5 linked regions of the Canis lupus familiaris genome follow. The protein of the gene in region 5 purifies or fractionates together with the protein of the main gene of each other region. This does not show direct contact. Links are inferred from orthologs where the notes say so. Each region holds a gene or a part of one and is shown on either strand. Other genes may lie near its edges.

Region 1 (3,518 bases), on a different chromosome or scaffold from region 5:
TTTATCTAAAGGAAGGTTTGTTTTTGTTGTGGGGAGAGAAAGATGAAAGTTGTTTCCTTTGAAAGTTACAGAGCTAGAAAGATCCTTAGAGACCATCTGGTATAAACTAATGGAGAGTTTCAAAACAATTCTTCTTTGTTTTTAATTCACAGATTTTGTCAGAGCATCTTTTTAAAAAAGGAAAGTCATCCAAAGGCATTTACACTAAATTAGAGTTATAGGCTGGAGGTTTTCCAGTAAGATTTATAGACTAGAGGCTTTGTTTATCAAAACCAATTCTATAAAGGAACAACTGAAACTTTATCAAACAATTAACAGATGGAAAGTTTAAAGAAGTAGTGAACAATCCAGACGCCAGGACCTCTATTTGCACTAAATCAAAGCCAGTTATCCACAGGTCTCCAAATGGTGCCCATGAAATGTTACCTATCCATGTGGCGATTAGGAGTTGGCTTAAAAGCCACAGCGGCTTCCCCTTGGTCCAGCTGGGGCCCTCTTGTGTACATGTTGTTGAATGCATACCCATCAGCTGGAGGATACTCTGATACACTGGACTGCTGAAAGAAGAAGATTAAAAGAGTCAGTCTCTAAGACTACTTGAATAACTACTAACATCAAGCAACAAAACCCTCCACCATATTGAGATCAGTTTCATTTTCAAGTGCTTTACCATTATTAACAAATTGTAAAATGGGGGTGGATAAATTTTTGTCAAAGACTTATTTATAATAGGAAAAGTCATTAGTACAATAGCTAAATCATAATTTTGAAAATAAATGGGTATACAAGCAATAAATTCTTTCCTCGGGAATTTCAGTAATAGTTCATTTTGGTATTAGGTAGACTTTAACAGCTTACATAAAATAAAACTGGTTTGAAAACAACAATAGAACTCTTTGCCTTTGAGCTCTATGTTTAAGAAACAGACTTCTACCATTCTAGCATACTAAATATATCACATAAAAATCATCTAAAATCTGTGCATTAAAATTATACTATGTTCTCATTCTTTAAATGTACACAGACCCTATTTTTTTTCATTTTTAAAAAAATGGCATTTAAAAATTTGGCCATTATTATCAAATTTACTGTTGAGGGAAATACAAAAGACAAAAACTCATTGATCTTGACAGTTAATACTCCAGGATAAAAAATACTGGAGTAATTTCTTGTTGCAGTTAACACAATTTCAACATGAGCCTACTGGGTGCTACCAGGAGGGGTAACTGAGGTCTCTGCAACCCAATAAGCACCATGATTTCAAAGCTATGGGGAAAAAAACAAAGAAACAAGACCAAAAAAGATCTAAAAAATATTCATGTTGAGATATTATACTCCTTTTGTGAACTGAAGTATGGCAGAGGCACAATAGAACAGGAAGCATGGAGGTCCTTGGCTATTTAAACTTTATGAACTCATTGGGGCAAAATATTTGAACCTGGAAATGTTTTAGAAAAGTCTTAGATACATGTTTACTATAGTTCATCCTAATGACAGAGTTGGCAGGAGTAGGGATGTGTTTAAACACAGACAGAGTAGGTGGGGTTTCTCCGATGGACTAGTGTGAATGTCAAAATACCCACACTATATTGCTCCTTTAGAATTTATCTCCCTAGAATATACTGCAACACACAAATTAAAAAAAGCAATTTTCACCATTTAAATATCTTAGCTTAAATCATCAACAAAATGAAAAGGCAACTATAGAATCAGAGAAGATGTTTACAAATCATATACTGATAAGGACTAGAAACCCAAATATATATAAAGAACTCATATAGCTCAAGAGGAAAAAAAAAAACAAACAAACAACTAACCAAACAAAAATCCCAATTTAGTTAAAAAATGGGCACAGCTACATCTTTCCAGAGAAGACATACAAATGGCAAACATACATGAAGGGTGCTCAATATCACTAATCATCAAGGAAATGTGAATCAAAATCACAGTGAGACCTCACCTTACAGTTGTCAGAATGGCTATCATTAAAAAGATAAGAGATAACAAGTGGTCAGTAAGGATGTGGGAAAAAAAAAAAAAAAAAAAGGAAACCCTCTATACTGTTGGTAGGAATTTAAATTGGTGCAGCTGTTATGGAAAACAGTATGAAGGGGGGCACTTGGCAGGCTTAGTCGGTGAAGTGTCCAACTCTTGATTTCAGCTCAGGTCATGATCTCCCTGTCATGAGATTGAGCCAGTGTCTGGCTCTGTGCTTAGCAGGAAGTCTGCTTGGGATTCTATCTCTCTCTGCTTCTGTTCCACAGCCAACCCAATCTGCTCTCTCTCTGCTCATATGTGCTCTTTCTCTCTCAAATAAATTAACAAATCTTAAAACAGTATGGAGGTTTCTCAAAAAATTAGAAATAGGGTGCCTGGGTGGTTCAGTCAGTTAAGCGTCTGCCTTCAACTCAGGTTATGATCTCCGTGTCCTGGGATCAAGCCGCATGTAGGGCTCTCTGCTCAGCAAGGAGTCTGTTTCTCTCGCTCTCTCTCTCCCTCTCCCTCTGCTCCTCCTCACAGCTTGTTACCCCCTTCTCTCTCCAATAAATAAATAAAATCTTTTTAAAAATTAGAAGTAGAACTACCATACTATTCAGCAGCTCCACTACTGGGTATAATACTAAAGGAAATGAAATTAGGATTTTTTTTTAAGATTCTATTTATTTATTCATGAGAGACACAGAGAGAGAGAGAGGCAGAGACGCAGGCAGAGGGAGAAGCAGGCTCCATGCAGGGAGCCTGACGTGGGACTCGATCCCAGGTCTCCAGGATCATGCCCTGGGCTGAAGGCGGCGCTAAACCACTGAGCCACTGGGGCTGCCCCTGAAATTAGGATCTTGAAGAGATATCTGCATCTCCATGTTCACTGCAGCATTTTTCACAATATGGAAACAACCGAAGTGTCCATCAACAGATAAATGGGTAAAGATGTGTTATATATACACAATAAAATTTTATTCAGCTATGACAGAAAAGCAAATCTTGTTATTTACAACAACATAGATGGACTCTGAAAGCATTCTGCTTTGAAAAGCAGAAATAAGCCAAACAGGAAAAGAAAAATACTGCACGGTATTGTTTATAGGTAAAATCCAAAAAAAAAAAAAAAATTGAACTTATAGAAAAGTGGTTGCCAAAGGCTGGGGGAAATGAGAGAACTTGGTAAAAGGGTACAAACTTTCAGCTATAAATGAATATGGTGGAGGATCTAATGTAAAACATGGTGAGCGTAGCTGATAACACTATGTTGTGTTAACTGAAATTTGCTAATAGAACTTAAATGTCCTCACCAAAAGAAAAAAAGATAAATATGTGAAGTGACAGATGTGTCAATTAACTAGAGGGGAGGGGGATCCTTCACCAGATGAACACCTTAAATATCTTGGTTTTGTCAACTATACCTCAATAAGGCTGAAATTAAAAATAACAAATCAGTAGCTTAATTAATTCAGTTTATCATTTCCCTAGTTGAGAGAAGAGGCACTAGATGATCAGGCAATTCTTTTTTTATTAAAGGA
Region 2 (3,518 bases), on a different chromosome or scaffold from region 5:
ACTCAGCCAGGATTCAGTCTGGTTTCTTTCCTATTCCTCCACTGGTAAGCATTAAAAGCATGTGGGTCCTCCCTAGACCTGGTCCCTGTCACAAGCCTCAGATGCTCACTCCTTTATAGCCAACATGAGAGGGAGAAGTAATCAGACTCAATCAGACTCAGGCTCCATTGCTTCATCCTTCGGTCTTGCAGCCCTGCCCTACTCTGACCTTGGGGTGAACACAGAGAACAGAGAACGATCACTAGCGTAACCTCAGTTTCTCCAACATATATGCAATTTAATAATATCAACAGAGTATTCAGCTGTAATCACATTACAATGATATTTACCTTGTAGCTTGTGGCTCACAAAGCATTTTCACATCTTATTAACAAACTAGGATTTGCGGCACTGTATTCCATGTTCTGACACGTTAATATTTAGGGCCCATCTCAATTTATGTATTTTATACCTCATTAAAAAAAAACATGAAAAATATACAGGACTGTTCTAAAAACATGAATTTTTAAAAAATCCTTTTTTCCCCCTTAAGTAGTCCTTCTGTTGTTCTTCTGGGGTTTGTGCTCATTTATGGTCACTCCAGGTTTACCAGATGTCTCATCAAACTTCTACGTTCTGTGATATGCCCTCAACAGGCTTATCAATCAACACTGACCTTCAGGACTTTTTGGTTCAGAACACCACTCTTGCTAAGCTTTGCAAAAGTTTTTTTTTTTTTTTTTTTTTTTAAAGACAGTTAATGTTTGATTTAAAGAACATGACTTGGCAATTAAAATGCTCAAGTTCTATTTCATGCTATTATGTAATTTACAAAGTCTCTATCAAAAAATAGATCTAGGGCAGCCCGGGTGGCTCAGTGGTTTAGCGCTGCCTTCGGCCCAGGGCGTGATCCTGGAGACCTGGGATCAAGTCCCATGTCGGGCTCCCTGCATGGAGCCTGCTTTTCCCTCTGCCTGTGTCTCTGCCTGTGTCTCTGCCTTTCTCTGTCTCTCATGAATAAATAAATAAAATCTTTAAAAAATTAAAAAATTAAAAAATCTAGTAAGGTCTGAGATATTTTAAACTCTGCCTAGCTGAAGAGGAATCCTAAGACATTTATTGATGTCTCCTCAACTGATCGCGATGTTAGAAATATGGAACTGTACAAATGGCTATGTGTCTACCTGTATGCTCATTTCATCTTTAGGTAATGGATCTTTATTAACCATCATCATCTTTCCTTATTGGAAAGAAAACCAACTACAGGGGGATCCCTGGGTGGCTCAGGAGTTTGGTGCCTGCCTTTGGCCCAGGGCATGATCCTAGAGTCTCGGGATCGAGTCCCACGTCGGGCTCTTTGCATGGAGCCTGCTTCTCCCTCTGCCTGTGTCTCTGCCTCTCTCTCTCTCTGTGTTTGTCTCTCATGAATAGATGAATAAAATCTTTAAAAAACAAAACAAAACTACTGTGAGAGTAAACCTAAGAGAGATTATACCCTGGGAGAAACAAAGAATATAGGAAGGACAAGAGTTGTGTGGGACACTCACAGTGGATCTTCCAAAATTACCCGGTTCTCTTATTCCCCTGAATAGAACTTGAAATGAGCAGTTACTTTGTAGAAACAAAATTAAAACCAAATGTCAAAAGACCCAAAAAACCAGCCTTGTAAATTTTACCTCTAATGCCAAGGCGGTCTTGTCATAAGCACAGGGTACTCTTTTCTGGATGGCTTTTGCAAAGACAGGTCCATTCTGTGTGGATGGCAAAGGGTTGATCGCTGCCCCAGGAGTACTGGAAACTGCAGGTAGAGGAGTTGTGGTCTGAGGTTGAGCATATGCATGAGCAGGTTCTGGGATTCCGTAACTGTTGGAATTCCTATTCCCGTGCTTTCCATGTGGTGAGGATCTCACAAGCTTTTCAACATAAGGAACAGGAATCATCCCAATCCGGCCCTCCTTGTTCCGGGCACTCCACCACTGTTCTTCAGGCTTCTCTATTATCACCAGGATCTCACCCTTTTTAAAGGGCAGGTCTTCAGCATCATTCCCAAGAAAATCATAGAGAGTCCGTACATATTCCAGATTTTCTTCTGCTGTAGGCAGGTTGGGTGCTGATACAGATCCCATTGGTGGGCTTGGGTACCTTCAGAGAGAAAGAAAATTAACTCTAAGAGAAAAAATCTTGATACCAGTGTTTGTCAAATATTTAAATAAACCATTTTCCTCTATGATGAATTATTTCCCTTGCTAAATTCTCAGTAGTAAGAAAGTTCTGTCATATTGTTTTATGTTCTGCAGTCTGTACTGCAACAGAATTTAATATCCTGAATAGACCTTGTTAAATCACAAGTACATACACACACACACACACAATCTGTTTCACAGGAACCTTTTGTTTACAGAGATACAGCTGGTCTGAGTTTATTTATTTTAAGATTTTATTTATTTATTCATGAGAAACACACAAAGAGAGGCAGAGACATAGATTGAGGGAAAAGCAGGCTCCTTGTAGGGAGCCAGATGTAAGACTCGATCCCAGGACCCTGGGATCATGCCCTGAGCCAAAGGCAGATGCTCAACCACTGAACCACCCAGGTGCCCCCAGATTTATTTTTAAAATCTTAAGTTCAGTCCTTCCTTAGGACTCTGGAACAACCACCACACATTCTTCCTCCTGGTCCTAATCTATAGTAAGCATCCTGCACATTTCCCTGGGTACCCAGAGAGAAAATGACAAAGGTTTCTGTGTCCCTCAAAATACAAAAACCAGAAAAGGGTTTATACATAAGCCAATTAAAAAAGATAATGAAACCCACATTACATTTTATGCAGGAATCATCATCTGAGCACCAAAATGAAAACATAGGGACCTTTTCACTGCAGAATTCACAGGCAAGAAAGCATCAGTCCACAGACACCACCACACGCCTCTGCTGTGCTCAAGAGATCAACATGTATTGGCCAACAAAGCTGCAGAATGCCCTCCCAGAGATAGTTCTAGGAGTGCAGTCTCTGCTCTCCTCTAATACCCCATCTGTAATGCCTCTTTTGGAAAAGAACTATAGAGGTCTCTCTTCACCTAAGAAATGTTTTAAGAAGTTGCAAATGTACCAGCTTTGGGGAAAATAAACTGTCTTATCATTAGCTCCCTCCCACACCTTAACTTTTCTAAAGTACAGAATCTACACCAGAGTAACAAACTCTGGGCTTCACCCAAAGAGCCTGCACCTCTGAAGTGACTCAGCTTGCAGTACCACCAACAGGGCCTAAATCTAGAGTAGCCTTGAGAGTAAGCTAGGATAGGAAATGCCTGTTTAACCACCGACTATGGTTTCCGATTTATCTTTTTTTTTTTTTAAAGATTATTTTTTGAGGGATCCCTGGGTGGCGCAGCGGTTTAGCGCCTGCCTTTGGCCCAGGGCGCGATCCTGGAGACCCAGGATCGAATCCCACGTCGGGCTCCCGGTGCATGGAGCCTGCTTCTCCCTCTGCCTATGTCTCTGCCTCTCTCTCTCTCTCAAAAAATAATCGTTTTTTAAA
Region 3 (3,934 bases), on a different chromosome or scaffold from region 5:
GGAACTGGCTTCCTGTCTGTAAAATGCACTGAACAATAAAAAACAAGTAAACTTAAAAAAAAAAAAAAAAAAAAGTAAACTTGCTACTCCTGGTAGTATACAGTTTTCAGTATGTATCTCTTCTTACCTGTACTATGCTTTACCGTTCCTCCTAAATTTTTACTTTACAAACACAATCAGTCAATGGTAAGAAACCCCATTTCCCCTAAAGTAAAATGGGAAAAGTCCATTTAAGTGGTTTGACAGAGCCCACCTTATTTTAGACAATTATAAACAGAAAGAATGAATCAGATTAGAATGTAGATGAGAAAAAAATATTTTAGGTTAATTCCTATTAATTCAGGTGGTGTTACTGAAGAAGTCAAAGTATGTTTAGTAGATCAATCAGAACATGGAGTTATACAATTTTAAGCTTACTTATTCCAAAATAGGTTTTCTACAAAAAAGAGAAAACCTAACATTAAATGCCAAAATGAGTACTTAATGGTTTGACATCTACAACATCACAATGCTGGTGCTTCTATTCAGCATTCCTAAAAAGCTCTAAGAGGTCTGAAAGGGAGACCCTGCAGCAGATCTCTTCTTTCTACATTTTGCACATTATGTACCTCCAAAGCCAAGGCTGTCTTGTCGTAGGCATTAGGGACTCGCTTCTGGATTACCCTGGCATAAATGGGCCCATTCTGGAGGTTAGGGAGCGGAGTGTTGACGCTGGGTTGGGCATAGGGCCCAGGCTCCGGCCCACCCAGTGGCTGTGGGTGGGAACCCTCCTGGTTACCTCCAATCAGAGCCGATACTGAGGCGGAGGCAGGTCTATACTTCTCGACGTAAGGGACTGGAATCATCCCCCTCTTGCCTTCGCTGTCCTCTGCATTCCACCACTGCTCTTCAGGCTTATCTCGGATTCTCAGGATGTCTCCTTTCTTAAAGGGAAGATCTTCTTCATCATTCCCATTAAAGTCAAAGAGGGCTCGCACATACTCTGCCTCCTCCTGCCTGAGAATCACTCCACTACCCTGCCTGGATCTGGAAACTGGTTCTATCAATGTTGTAGTGTCCAAATAATGTATTTTGTAGAATTCCAGTAAAGCAGGCAATGAATCAAACTCTTGATCTCCTATTCGGAGTCTGGAGGGGCTCACCCCTGGAAAAAAACAGAGCAGGCTATTATTTAAGATGTAGTACACAGGAGATGAAATGAAGTTTTTAAGCATTTCCCAAACACATTTGGTCAATAATCAGAAAAAAAAAAAAAGTCTAGAAAAGATAACCCCTGTCCTAAACAGAAATCATACTCTGTAGTTAAAACATACCCTAGAGAAAGATGCCCATCACCACCTGCAGTAGAGACAGAACAGAAGGCCATAACAGATCAGGCCAGTCAGGGCATGTTTCCATACTGGATCAAAGACAAAGCAACATGGAGACTTTTTATTGTGCTATTCATTTACAGAGTAGCATAAGCTTTAAGGTTTCCTTGCAATCTTCTTTTAACCTCAGGAAATGTAGCAAGCTCTACTTTTTCATAAGTCCCAGCAGCTTTTCCAAGAAGAGGTGGGGAAAACTTGCTATCTATCTACACCAGGCTCATACATTCCTTCTCTTCACATCTTCTAGACAATTCCTAAGAAGAAAAAAGTGTTTATTTTTAAGTGAGTTCTACATGCCCAGTGTGGGGCTTGAACTCACAATCCTGAGATCAAGTCGCATGCTTTATTGACTAAGCCAGCCAGGCATCCCAAGACTATCTTTTTAAATCTATGATTGCTGATCTCAAATTCATTTCTGACAGTTACCAAAACAAACAAACAATCTTAATTAGGCAAAAGAACCAAGGAGCCTAAAAAGAGAAATCAAGAAGTTAACTGCTTAACAATCAATTCCTACAGGTCTTCACTGAAATAAAACATGTAAACCATACTGTTCCCTTTGAAGCAAACAGATCATGAAAAAAGGTAAATAAGGATACTTGAAAAAAAAATAAGTGTTAAATTTCTCAAACTCCAGGGTTCCCTGGTTGGCTCAGTCGGCAGAGCATGCAACTTTAAAAAAAAAAAAAAAAAAAAAAAAAAAAAGATTTTATTTATTTGAGAGTCAGAGAGCACAAGCAGGGGGAGGGGCAGAGGGAGAGGGAGAGGGAGAAACAAGTTCCCCACTGAGCAGGAAGCCTGATGTGGGGCTCAATCCCAGGACCCTGGGATCATGACCTGAGTGGAAGGCAGACACTTAACCAACTGAGCCACTCAGGCATCCCAGAGCATGCAACTCTTGGTCTCTGGCATGTGAGTTCCAACCCCATGTTGGAGGTAGAAATTACTTAAAACAAAATCTTTTTTTTTTTTTTTTTAAGATCCATTTATTTATTCATGAGAGACACACACACACAGAGAGAGAAGCAGAGACATAGGGAGAGACAGAAGCAGGCTCCATGCAGGAAGCCTGAGGTGGGACTCAATCCTGGGAGTCCAAGATCAGGCCTTGGGCTGAAGGCAGGCACTCAACTGCTGAGCCACCCAGGCGTCCCCTTAAAACAAAATCTTAAACTGGTTTTTGTGGAGCTCTTTTTTTTTTTTTTAAGATTTTATTTATTCATGAGAGACACTGAGAGAGAGGCAGACACAGGCAGAGGGAGAAGCAGGCTCCCCATGGGACTCAATCCCAGGACTCAGGGATCACGACCTGAGTCAAAGGCAGACACTCAACCACTGAGCCACCCAGAAGCCCCTTCCTTGTTTTGTTTTAAAGGTTTATTTGAGAGAGAAGGAGCACAAGCAAGGGGAAGGGTAGAGGGAAAAGGAGAAGCAGTCTCCTCACTAAGGAAGGACCCCAATGCAGGGCTCCATCCCAGGACCTTGGGATCATGATCTGAGACTAAGGCAGATGCTTAATGCTTGAGCCACCAAGGCACCCTGATTTTTTTTTAATCAGACTTAACCCCCAGGTTAAGCCTTAATCCACATTCAAAATTGAGATATTAAAAAAAAAAAATTGAGATAGAACCTCCCAAATTTTAATGTTTATGTATATATATGTATGTATATATACAAGGTCATAAGTATACATACACAAGTGTTTTACAGTTACTACAAAGCTTTATAACTTGCCTTTTTATTATGAAATTTATAAATTTCTCCTTTTTAAGAACAACTTTTCAAGATTTTATTTATTCATGAGAGACACAGAGGGAGTGAGGCAGAGACCCAGGCAGAGGGAGAAACAGGCTCCATGCAGGGAGCCTGACATGGGACTCAATCCCAGGACCCCAGGATCATGCCCTGGACTGAAGACACACGCTAAACCTCTGAGCCACCTGAGCTGCCCCAAGAACATAACTTTTTTTTTTTTTTAAGAACATGACTTTTAATAGCTATAAAGTGTTCCCAACTTTTCACTAGTGAAAATGCTATTATGAGCATTTTTGTTAATAAGCTTTCCTTCTTTTTTTTAAAGATTATTTATTTGAGAGTGAGAGCACGAGAGGGAGGAGGGGCAGAGGGAAATGAGAAGCAGATTCCCTGCTGAGCAGGCAGCCCAACATGGGACTTGATCCTGAGACTCTGGAATCATGACCAAGCCCACCTCAGACGCTCAACAGACTGAGCCACCCAGGTGCCCCAGTGAAGACTTTTTTTCTTATTCCATTAGGATAAATTCCTTGAAATGCAACTGCTGGATCAAAGGGTAAGAACATTTTATTTTAAAGGATTTTATTTATTTATTCATGAGACAGAGAGAGAGAGGGGCAGAGACACAGGCAGAGGGAGAAGCAGGCTCCATGCAGGGAGCCCGATGTGGGATTTGATCCCGGGGCTCCAGGATCATGCCCTGCCCCAAAGGCAGGCACCAAACTGCTGAGCCACCCAGGGATCCCAAAGAGTAAGAACATTAAGGTTTATATTGCCAAATTGCTCTCCAAAAAGTCTGTACAATTTAT
Region 4 (3,518 bases), on a different chromosome or scaffold from region 5:
ACTCATAGTACCTAAAATCAAATTCTTAGCAGACAAATTGGTCCCATTTTCATTTTTAAAGCACACAGTATTTAAAGCATAAACTGCAATGATTATATTGGAGCTACCTAAAATATATAAGAACTAATTAGAATCCAGAGGAAAATGAAAATGGTGAGGAAAAGAAAGAAAATAAAGTATCCGACCTCCAAAATGAATCAGTAGGTCAGCCCTTTCATCTGGAGGTCCTGTCTTGACTGCTTGTTTTGGAGAAAACCACATGTACTGGTTCCATTATAATTCTTATTCCACGTTACAAAAACCATCACATAAATTTGGCACGATTAGCAATCTACTCAGAGGAAAGCATAAATGGAACAATACATTAAAAATGGAAACTGCACACCAATACCAATGTTCTCTCCTTAGAGCACAGTGAACACTTTAGTAAGCACCAGGTTCACAGAAAAATAAAAAAGAAGAAAGAAAGAAAGAAAGAAAGAAAATTCTGCTATGCACATAAACCAATGGCACTGAAAATAATAACGACAAGCTTTAATAATTTATTTTCTTTATAATGGTCCCACTCTCTTCTGCTAATCCACTCACTGTCCCATAATTAATCAGGTTATTCACTGGTCAGGTTGGGTGCTGTATGACTGAGACCTTAGTTACATCTGGACGATAGATCCAAATCATGATCTCAAACTTCCTCAACATTTAGAGAAAACAGTAACCTAACCGTTCCGCTCTGCCGTCTCTTGTCTTCCCTAGTGTTTTGAGAAACTGGAACATTCTTGACTTTCCGAGAGTTACGACATACGGTCTCTCTTCAGTTTATATAAACTTCAATTCATTTTAAATCCTAAATTATGACACAATCTCATTGCTGTAAGACTTCCACTGTACCTGCTATGCTGGCCACGATCCTAACATTCTACTGAAATCAAGGGATAACCAAAGATCCATCTATGAGTGAAAGGACAGCAGAGGGGGGGAACACCACTGCGGGCAAAGAACAACTGCAGCCGTGTGATGAGGGAATCGCTGCTAAAGTGCTGGGGAGAGTGCCCACAGAGAAAACACAGTACCTTTAGGGAACTTTGCGTGTGAAAAGTAGCTTCTTTTTTTTTTTTTTTTTTTTTTCCTCAACTGTTAAAGAGATCACCTATGGACACGAGTGAAATTTCAAATTGCGTGAATGTTTTTATCAACTTGAAAAGTAAACAGCATATAAATAAATACTGGACAAGGGCAACCCTGTTACAGAATAACAGTAAGTTCCAAACGAACCTTCAAAACCACAATTCGACAGAAATGCAAACTAAACAACAACGAACATGTAGTCCAATTTCAAAACTATATACAAACTCAAACATTTTAAATTGAAAAAGACAGTAAGCAACAGAATAAGACATCCCAAACACCAAAGGAAAAAACTGAAGGTAAATGGCAATCTAATGGCCCAGATGCCTCCAGGAAACAATGTTATTGTTCATAATCTATGGGAGAGCAACTTTCAAGAGATCCTGGTTCAGATTTCCAAATGTTTTTGGGTAAAGTGACCTGAGACTGATTCTGGAGTCTAGTGTAATTCTGATTAAGATATTATCTGGGCCTGCCCTTCAAATGACATCATGAGATGAGTAAAGAGAAAATTTTGACTCCTTCCTGCCTTTCGACACACCGAGAACAAACCCTATTCATGGGCACAGGACTCTTTCTAGTAACGTAGAAGGCAAAGGAACTGACTGGTATATAAGGAGGTGTGGTACTTCTATTTCCTTTACATATGTTTTGGCTCAAGGCAAAAAGCCTACAATTAATGAAATAAAGGATTCCTCATGTTACATGCTGGAGGCCATATACCATGAATAGTGAGTCTACAAATATTACTTTCAAAGCCTAGAGTTATCTGTTAGCAATGCACATGATCAAGAGGCTTTATAAAATGTTTTAAACGCCAACCATGACTTAGACATGAATGATATGCGTAAGTCCGGAATATTGATAACAATCAACCAGCATGTCACTCACTTCAACTCTCATTTTAAATAGGCACTGTGAAAATGGGAATGCTGCTGTACAGTAATGAGTAGTATGTACTGAAATTAGTGTTCTTTAATGAGTACCTGCTCTAACGTTAATTCCCTTTAGTTAAAGAAGCACATGAAATAGTCAGAAAAAAAATCTTATCAGTCTATAAAAGGAGTTAGTGTTTAGAAATGAAAATGAAGCACTTGCATCTTCATTTTTTGAAACTTCACAAAGGTGCAAACAATGTACCGCTTTCCGGGCTCACATGGGCAGGTCAGTACTATTATGTCTGGTCTTCCTAGACGTACCGTCGTCTCGCGGCAGTGCTTTCTGCAGATTTGACATAGCAGCAGTTCTCTCGATGTCTATCACAGCGTACAGCTCTGTGCGCCTGGTAGGGGTCTGTGGAAGGGGAGTGGTAGGTGTTTTTGGAGTCTGAGGGTTGTCAGAGTCACTGCCACCTTCCAAGTCAACCTGTATGTAATTGAGCTGCCTGTGTTCTAAACTTGGGCGTCTGATATCAAAGTTAAAGACTGTCGGTGTACAGTCCCGACGCCTCGAATATTCTATTTTGTGAGCACTTGCCGGCACTGTTACATTCTCTGTATTTACATAGTTATGCATTGGATCTAGATTATTATGGTAGCCATTTAGAGATGGGGTCTTTGGTCCTAAATTGTCATCTTCATCCCTACTAAGCTTGCGGGCTTCCCAGACAGGAGGCAAAGATGGTAAATTTTCATAGTTTAATAATGCAGTTCTTCTCTGAGCTGAGTTGTTGATATTCTGGGTATCTGAGGTACTGCTGGATGTCAGACGACCTCTCCTGACCCCTGAGGCACTAGGGATAGATAACCCATTTATATTTTCATACACCAGTTTGTTAACAGAGGGTGCATCTCTTCGCTCATCACTGTCATATCCAGTGTCCCATTCTGTGCTATTGGCACCGCTTCCACTGACTTGGTCTCTTCCAAGTTGCTCCAGTTTCTCTTTTTCCATCAACTGCTTTTGAACAGGGGTTGGTCCTAAGACAAATTTGACTCCTTCGGGTTCAAGAAGAATCTGAGGGTCCCTGTCCTCAATACTACTTGGTTCTTCTTTTGGTGTGTTGCTTTCAGCATTAGAAATCCTCGCCTCCAATGGGACATGCACACTTGTGCGGTTTTTCCGCTCTTCTTGCACTCCTGTAGTGTTGACATAGGTATGTACCTAAAACAAAACAGGAAAGTGAATCAATAACTTGCCTAAAACAAAAACCAAAAAAGGCTGATCATATCAGTTAACTTAATCGATTAACTTTCTCTCTCACTATACTCTCCCTTCGAGGCTTGTGTACCCAGTTTTCACTAAGGAAAAGGTGGGGAGAGGGGAAGAATGTAGAAAGATCTTCTTCACTTGATAAAAGAATAACTACTCTAAAATAACACATGACATTGTACTTGATACACGAAAAGCACTCTGTTAAAAAAAATCAGGAATGAATTGAGATTAGCATTTTC
Region 5 (3,518 bases):
AGAGCCACAATCAAAAATAACTCACAAGACACTACAGCAAAAGTACTATGTCTACAGACTTGGCTAGCATTGTGTACATTAAGGAGAAAAAATAATCAAGACTACAGAAAAACTCTCAGCTATGCTTGTTCAAGTTTTGTTTTAAAGTGTTTTCAATTCAAAAAATAAATAAAAAGCAGAGTTTCCAGAAAATATTTAATTGTAGTTCTGCAACTGTTTACTAATAAGTTAGTTCTGTGAAATGCAGTTTTTAAAAAAAACTTTATCAACAATCAAGTTTTACAGAAACAATTATATTAAAAAATTTGGAATCTGAAAATGTTTTCCAATTTAAATGCCACTATGGTGACATAATAAGTCTTCTTTAGCACTTTCTACTTAACATTGCTCTACAGGAAAAAAAAAACAGTAAAACTTTTGTCTTATGTAGATAAAAATCTAAGGATTAATTTAATACAGTCTAAGAACTCAAAGCAAAGGTATTTAAAATAAAAAACAGTTTAGGATGTTCATGCTAATGAAATCAGTGAATCATCTAAGACTGAGAATAATGTGGCAAGAAGAACAATTTGAACTTGTGTAACAACCTTAAAAATTCTTAAAAATCAAAGAAAGAAGTATTCTGCAACCACAAGTTTCGAGTAATTTAATGAAACATTTTTGTAGTTGATTTTGATCTTAAAGAGTACACAGAAACTGATGAAGATCACAAAATAGGTTAGTCATATTAATTACTGAAAATTATACCTCTCAAAAAGTTTTATATAACATAAAAAAAGATGCTAGAGTAATCTGTTTCTTTTTTATGTAAAATCTTAGGCAGCTTATTTAACTTTCCTGTGCTTTTTTTCATTTTTGAGTCAGTAAAATGAAAACACTGATAGCAGAAGTTTCTAGGTGAAAAATCAGTAGTAAAATTGGAATCCCAGAGTAGGTTTCTTGCATGATCTTCAACGTGTTTCAGCTACTGCCTGCTACTACCAAATGGAATCTGTTTAGAGAATCCAAACTGCTTTTAATAACCTATGGAAAACACTAATATTTTACTATGGAAAAGGCTAGCTAGCAAAAGAACTACCAATTGGAGGCCAAATAAAAATTAAAACCAAAACAAAACTGGCTTATTTATCCCAGAGACATGTGGAGATAATGAAACATGATATTAACGAAAGTGTTTTGATATCACTGATAAAAATATTCTTTTTTTTTTTTTTGATAAAAATATTCTAACTTGATTTTACTTTTTTTGCAAAGAGGCCCTGATAGTTTCCAGGCCATTTAAGTAGTTCTGACTGGACATTTAATAAATCAAACAGATTAATATTATCAAATGCTATTCATCTTTATTACAATGGATCAGTTAATGGGTAATCTTTAAAAGTTTAACTGGTGCCAGAACAGTTTCCAGAGAGAACTGAGAACCCATTTAGAGGACTTTAAAAAATGAAAAAACAAAACAAACCAAAAGACCCCCACCTCCCTTAGAAATACACATCTCTTAGAAATAAGAATATATTTAAGCAAGAAGTATAGGGATGGAGGTTAACATTCACATTCAACTACTTCAGAAGAGCATTTATGTTATAAGATATACGTTTGAGTTTATAGATCTTTGTAATAAAAACATTCTTTGAAATTTTACATTTATATTTACAAAGAGCTTTTGCATATAGTCGTTGATCTGTTCTTTCCAATAACATTCTAAGGTTGCTGTTGGGATGTTGATTTTTGGGATGAAAACTGAGGTCTGGGACCTTAGGGAACTGTGACAGAGTGAGGGTGTAAATCCAGATTTGGTGCTCTTTCCACTATACCATAGGCTACAGCACTGTACAATTACCAAGCTTTCTATCGTGTAGGAAAGTTGAAGGTTGAGGAACATTGGATTATCATGGGTTACTTTACTAGAAGAAATAGAATTACTTTAAAAAAAAAAAATCATGTTTGTTCCTAAACTCTCCCAACATTACATTTGATTTGGCTTCCACCAATCTTCCTAGGTAGTTTGGATGCATTTGTCTCTTAAAAACTGCCCTGCTAAGGTAATACTGTTTTCTTAAATGTGATCAATTGTAAAACAGAAAAAAAATATTGAAAACTTTAATGAAAGTTTTAGGAATGGAAATTAAGAAAAAGCAATGCGCATATTCCAGCACAGTTCTGGTAATGAATGTATACTAAAATTTTTACTGACTTTAAGATCTCAGTAATGGAAAGAGAAGAAAGAAAGAAAAAAAAAGGTAAAGGTTTTTAGACCCTAATGATGATTTATCTTGTTTCTGCCACCAATTGGGTAAATTTAGCCAAGTGATTTTATTTTCTTACTTGTAATTCTGGTTGTAAAGTTAAAAATAATATTTAAATGTGGCAGAAAAGGTACAAATGGCAGTATTTTTAGGCAAAGGAAAATGAACTCGGAATAATGCAGAGATCTTTTGTTGTTAGTTTGCTTTCTATTTTAGGCACAATGACCTGTGCAGCAAAGAAAATCAGTTGGAAGCAGGAAAATAAAAGTGACAGGCAACTTTATATTTCTTACCTGCGTACATATGGTACGTGAGCCTCTCTATAAGTTTAATAACAGTTCCTGCTTTGATAATTGGAATTCCAGCCTTGGGCTGCATGTTTTCTTCAAATATTATATTCTCTTCAGAGTCAGGCTCTGCAAATCTATAAACATCGGCACTAGGGAGCCTCATCTGCTCCTCCTTCTCTTCCTGTAGCATCGTCACATCAAGCATCCTTTCCAGTGTACTCCGGTACTGTAAAGATATCAATGCTGCCATCCAATTGTTTTTCTCTTCAGCTGACTTGGCAGAAAATATAACACTATTTTCATCTTTTAAAATTATTTCAAAAGCATGCTTGTACTCACTGGTGTCATCTTTGTCATTAATTTGTACCTTTCTCATGAAAAACTTTTCTTTAAGACGATATTCTGCATTGCTAGCACCAGGAAGTCTTGGCTGCCCATGATTTGATTTACAGCAAATCATTAAGCCATCAAAGAGAAATATGTGTCTCTCATGTTTGGCTCCTACACGTGTAAGAGTTCCTTCCATTATAAATTCATTGCAACATTGTCCAATGTCTTTTCCCTCCCAACCATCAATATTCTTTTGAATCTCGTTCATTTTCTTGATTGCTAGTTGTTTCCCCTTCATTTGCTGACTATAAAACCGACATGCAGATTCACTGGGATAAAGGAAAAAAACATCATTAGTACACAGATGACAGACAATCTAGAATTCATAAAATAAAGGACAATATAAAAGTACATTTTAAAAAGTTGCACGGAGAAGGCTTTCATTAATTTTCCAAATATATTAGTGTTATAAAACTGCACCATTTTAGGAACTAAAGCAACACAGTAGAGACTTTTTTTAGTGCTCTAAAAAGAACAATGAGTAATGACAAAATTCTACTCTATAAATTTAGCTATGGAATGATTATTTCTACCTTGACTTCTAAATATTTAGAATGACAAATATTAAAAAGTAGCCCAATATAGTGAAAAA

The links.
Region 1: the proteins of SOS1 (region 5) and EPS8 purify together in Homo sapiens (affinity purification with western blotting; 5 studies listed by BioGRID and IntAct, with this or other methods). This does not show direct contact. The link is inferred for Canis lupus familiaris from reciprocal best matches to the Homo sapiens genes SOS1 and EPS8.
Region 2: the proteins of SOS1 (region 5) and CRKL purify together in Homo sapiens (affinity purification with mass spectrometry; 3 studies listed by BioGRID and IntAct, with this or other methods). This does not show direct contact. The link is inferred for Canis lupus familiaris from reciprocal best matches to the Homo sapiens genes SOS1 and CRKL.
Region 3: the proteins of SOS1 (region 5) and CRK purify together in Homo sapiens (affinity purification with mass spectrometry; 6 studies listed by BioGRID and IntAct, with this or other methods). This does not show direct contact. The link is inferred for Canis lupus familiaris from reciprocal best matches to the Homo sapiens genes SOS1 and CRK.
Region 4: the proteins of SOS1 (region 5) and FRS2 purify together in Homo sapiens (affinity purification with western blotting; 5 studies listed by BioGRID). This does not show direct contact. The link is inferred for Canis lupus familiaris from reciprocal best matches to the Homo sapiens genes SOS1 and FRS2.

What each region holds. Positions count from the first base shown.
Region 1 is NC_049248.1:15,126,684-15,130,201, forward strand, and holds part of EPS8 (epidermal growth factor receptor kinase substrate 8), read right to left. Parts: intron 558-3,518; coding exon 427-557; intron 1-426. UniProt on the Homo sapiens protein: Signaling adapter that controls various cellular protrusions by regulating actin cytoskeleton dynamics and architecture. Depending on its association with other signal transducers, can regulate different processes.
Region 2 is NC_049247.1:30,732,826-30,736,343, forward strand, and holds part of CRKL (crk-like protein), read right to left. Parts: intron 2,122-3,518; coding exon 1,656-2,121; intron 1-1,655. UniProt on the Homo sapiens protein: May mediate the transduction of intracellular signals.
Region 3 is NC_049230.1:45,559,704-45,563,637, forward strand, and holds the end of CRK (adapter molecule crk), read right to left. Parts: intron 1,145-3,934; coding exon 534-1,144; 3' UTR 519-533; downstream 1-518. UniProt on the Homo sapiens protein: Involved in cell branching and adhesion mediated by BCAR1-CRK-RAPGEF1 signaling and activation of RAP1.
Region 4 is NC_049231.1:11,910,537-11,914,054, reverse strand, and holds part of FRS2 (fibroblast growth factor receptor substrate 2), read right to left. Parts: intron 3,229-3,518; coding exon 2,278-3,228; 3' UTR 1-2,277. UniProt on the Homo sapiens protein: Adapter protein that links activated FGR and NGF receptors to downstream signaling pathways.
Region 5 is NC_049238.1:31,204,876-31,208,393, forward strand, and holds part of SOS1 (son of sevenless homolog 1), read right to left. Parts: intron 3,196-3,518; coding exon 2,540-3,195; intron 1-2,539.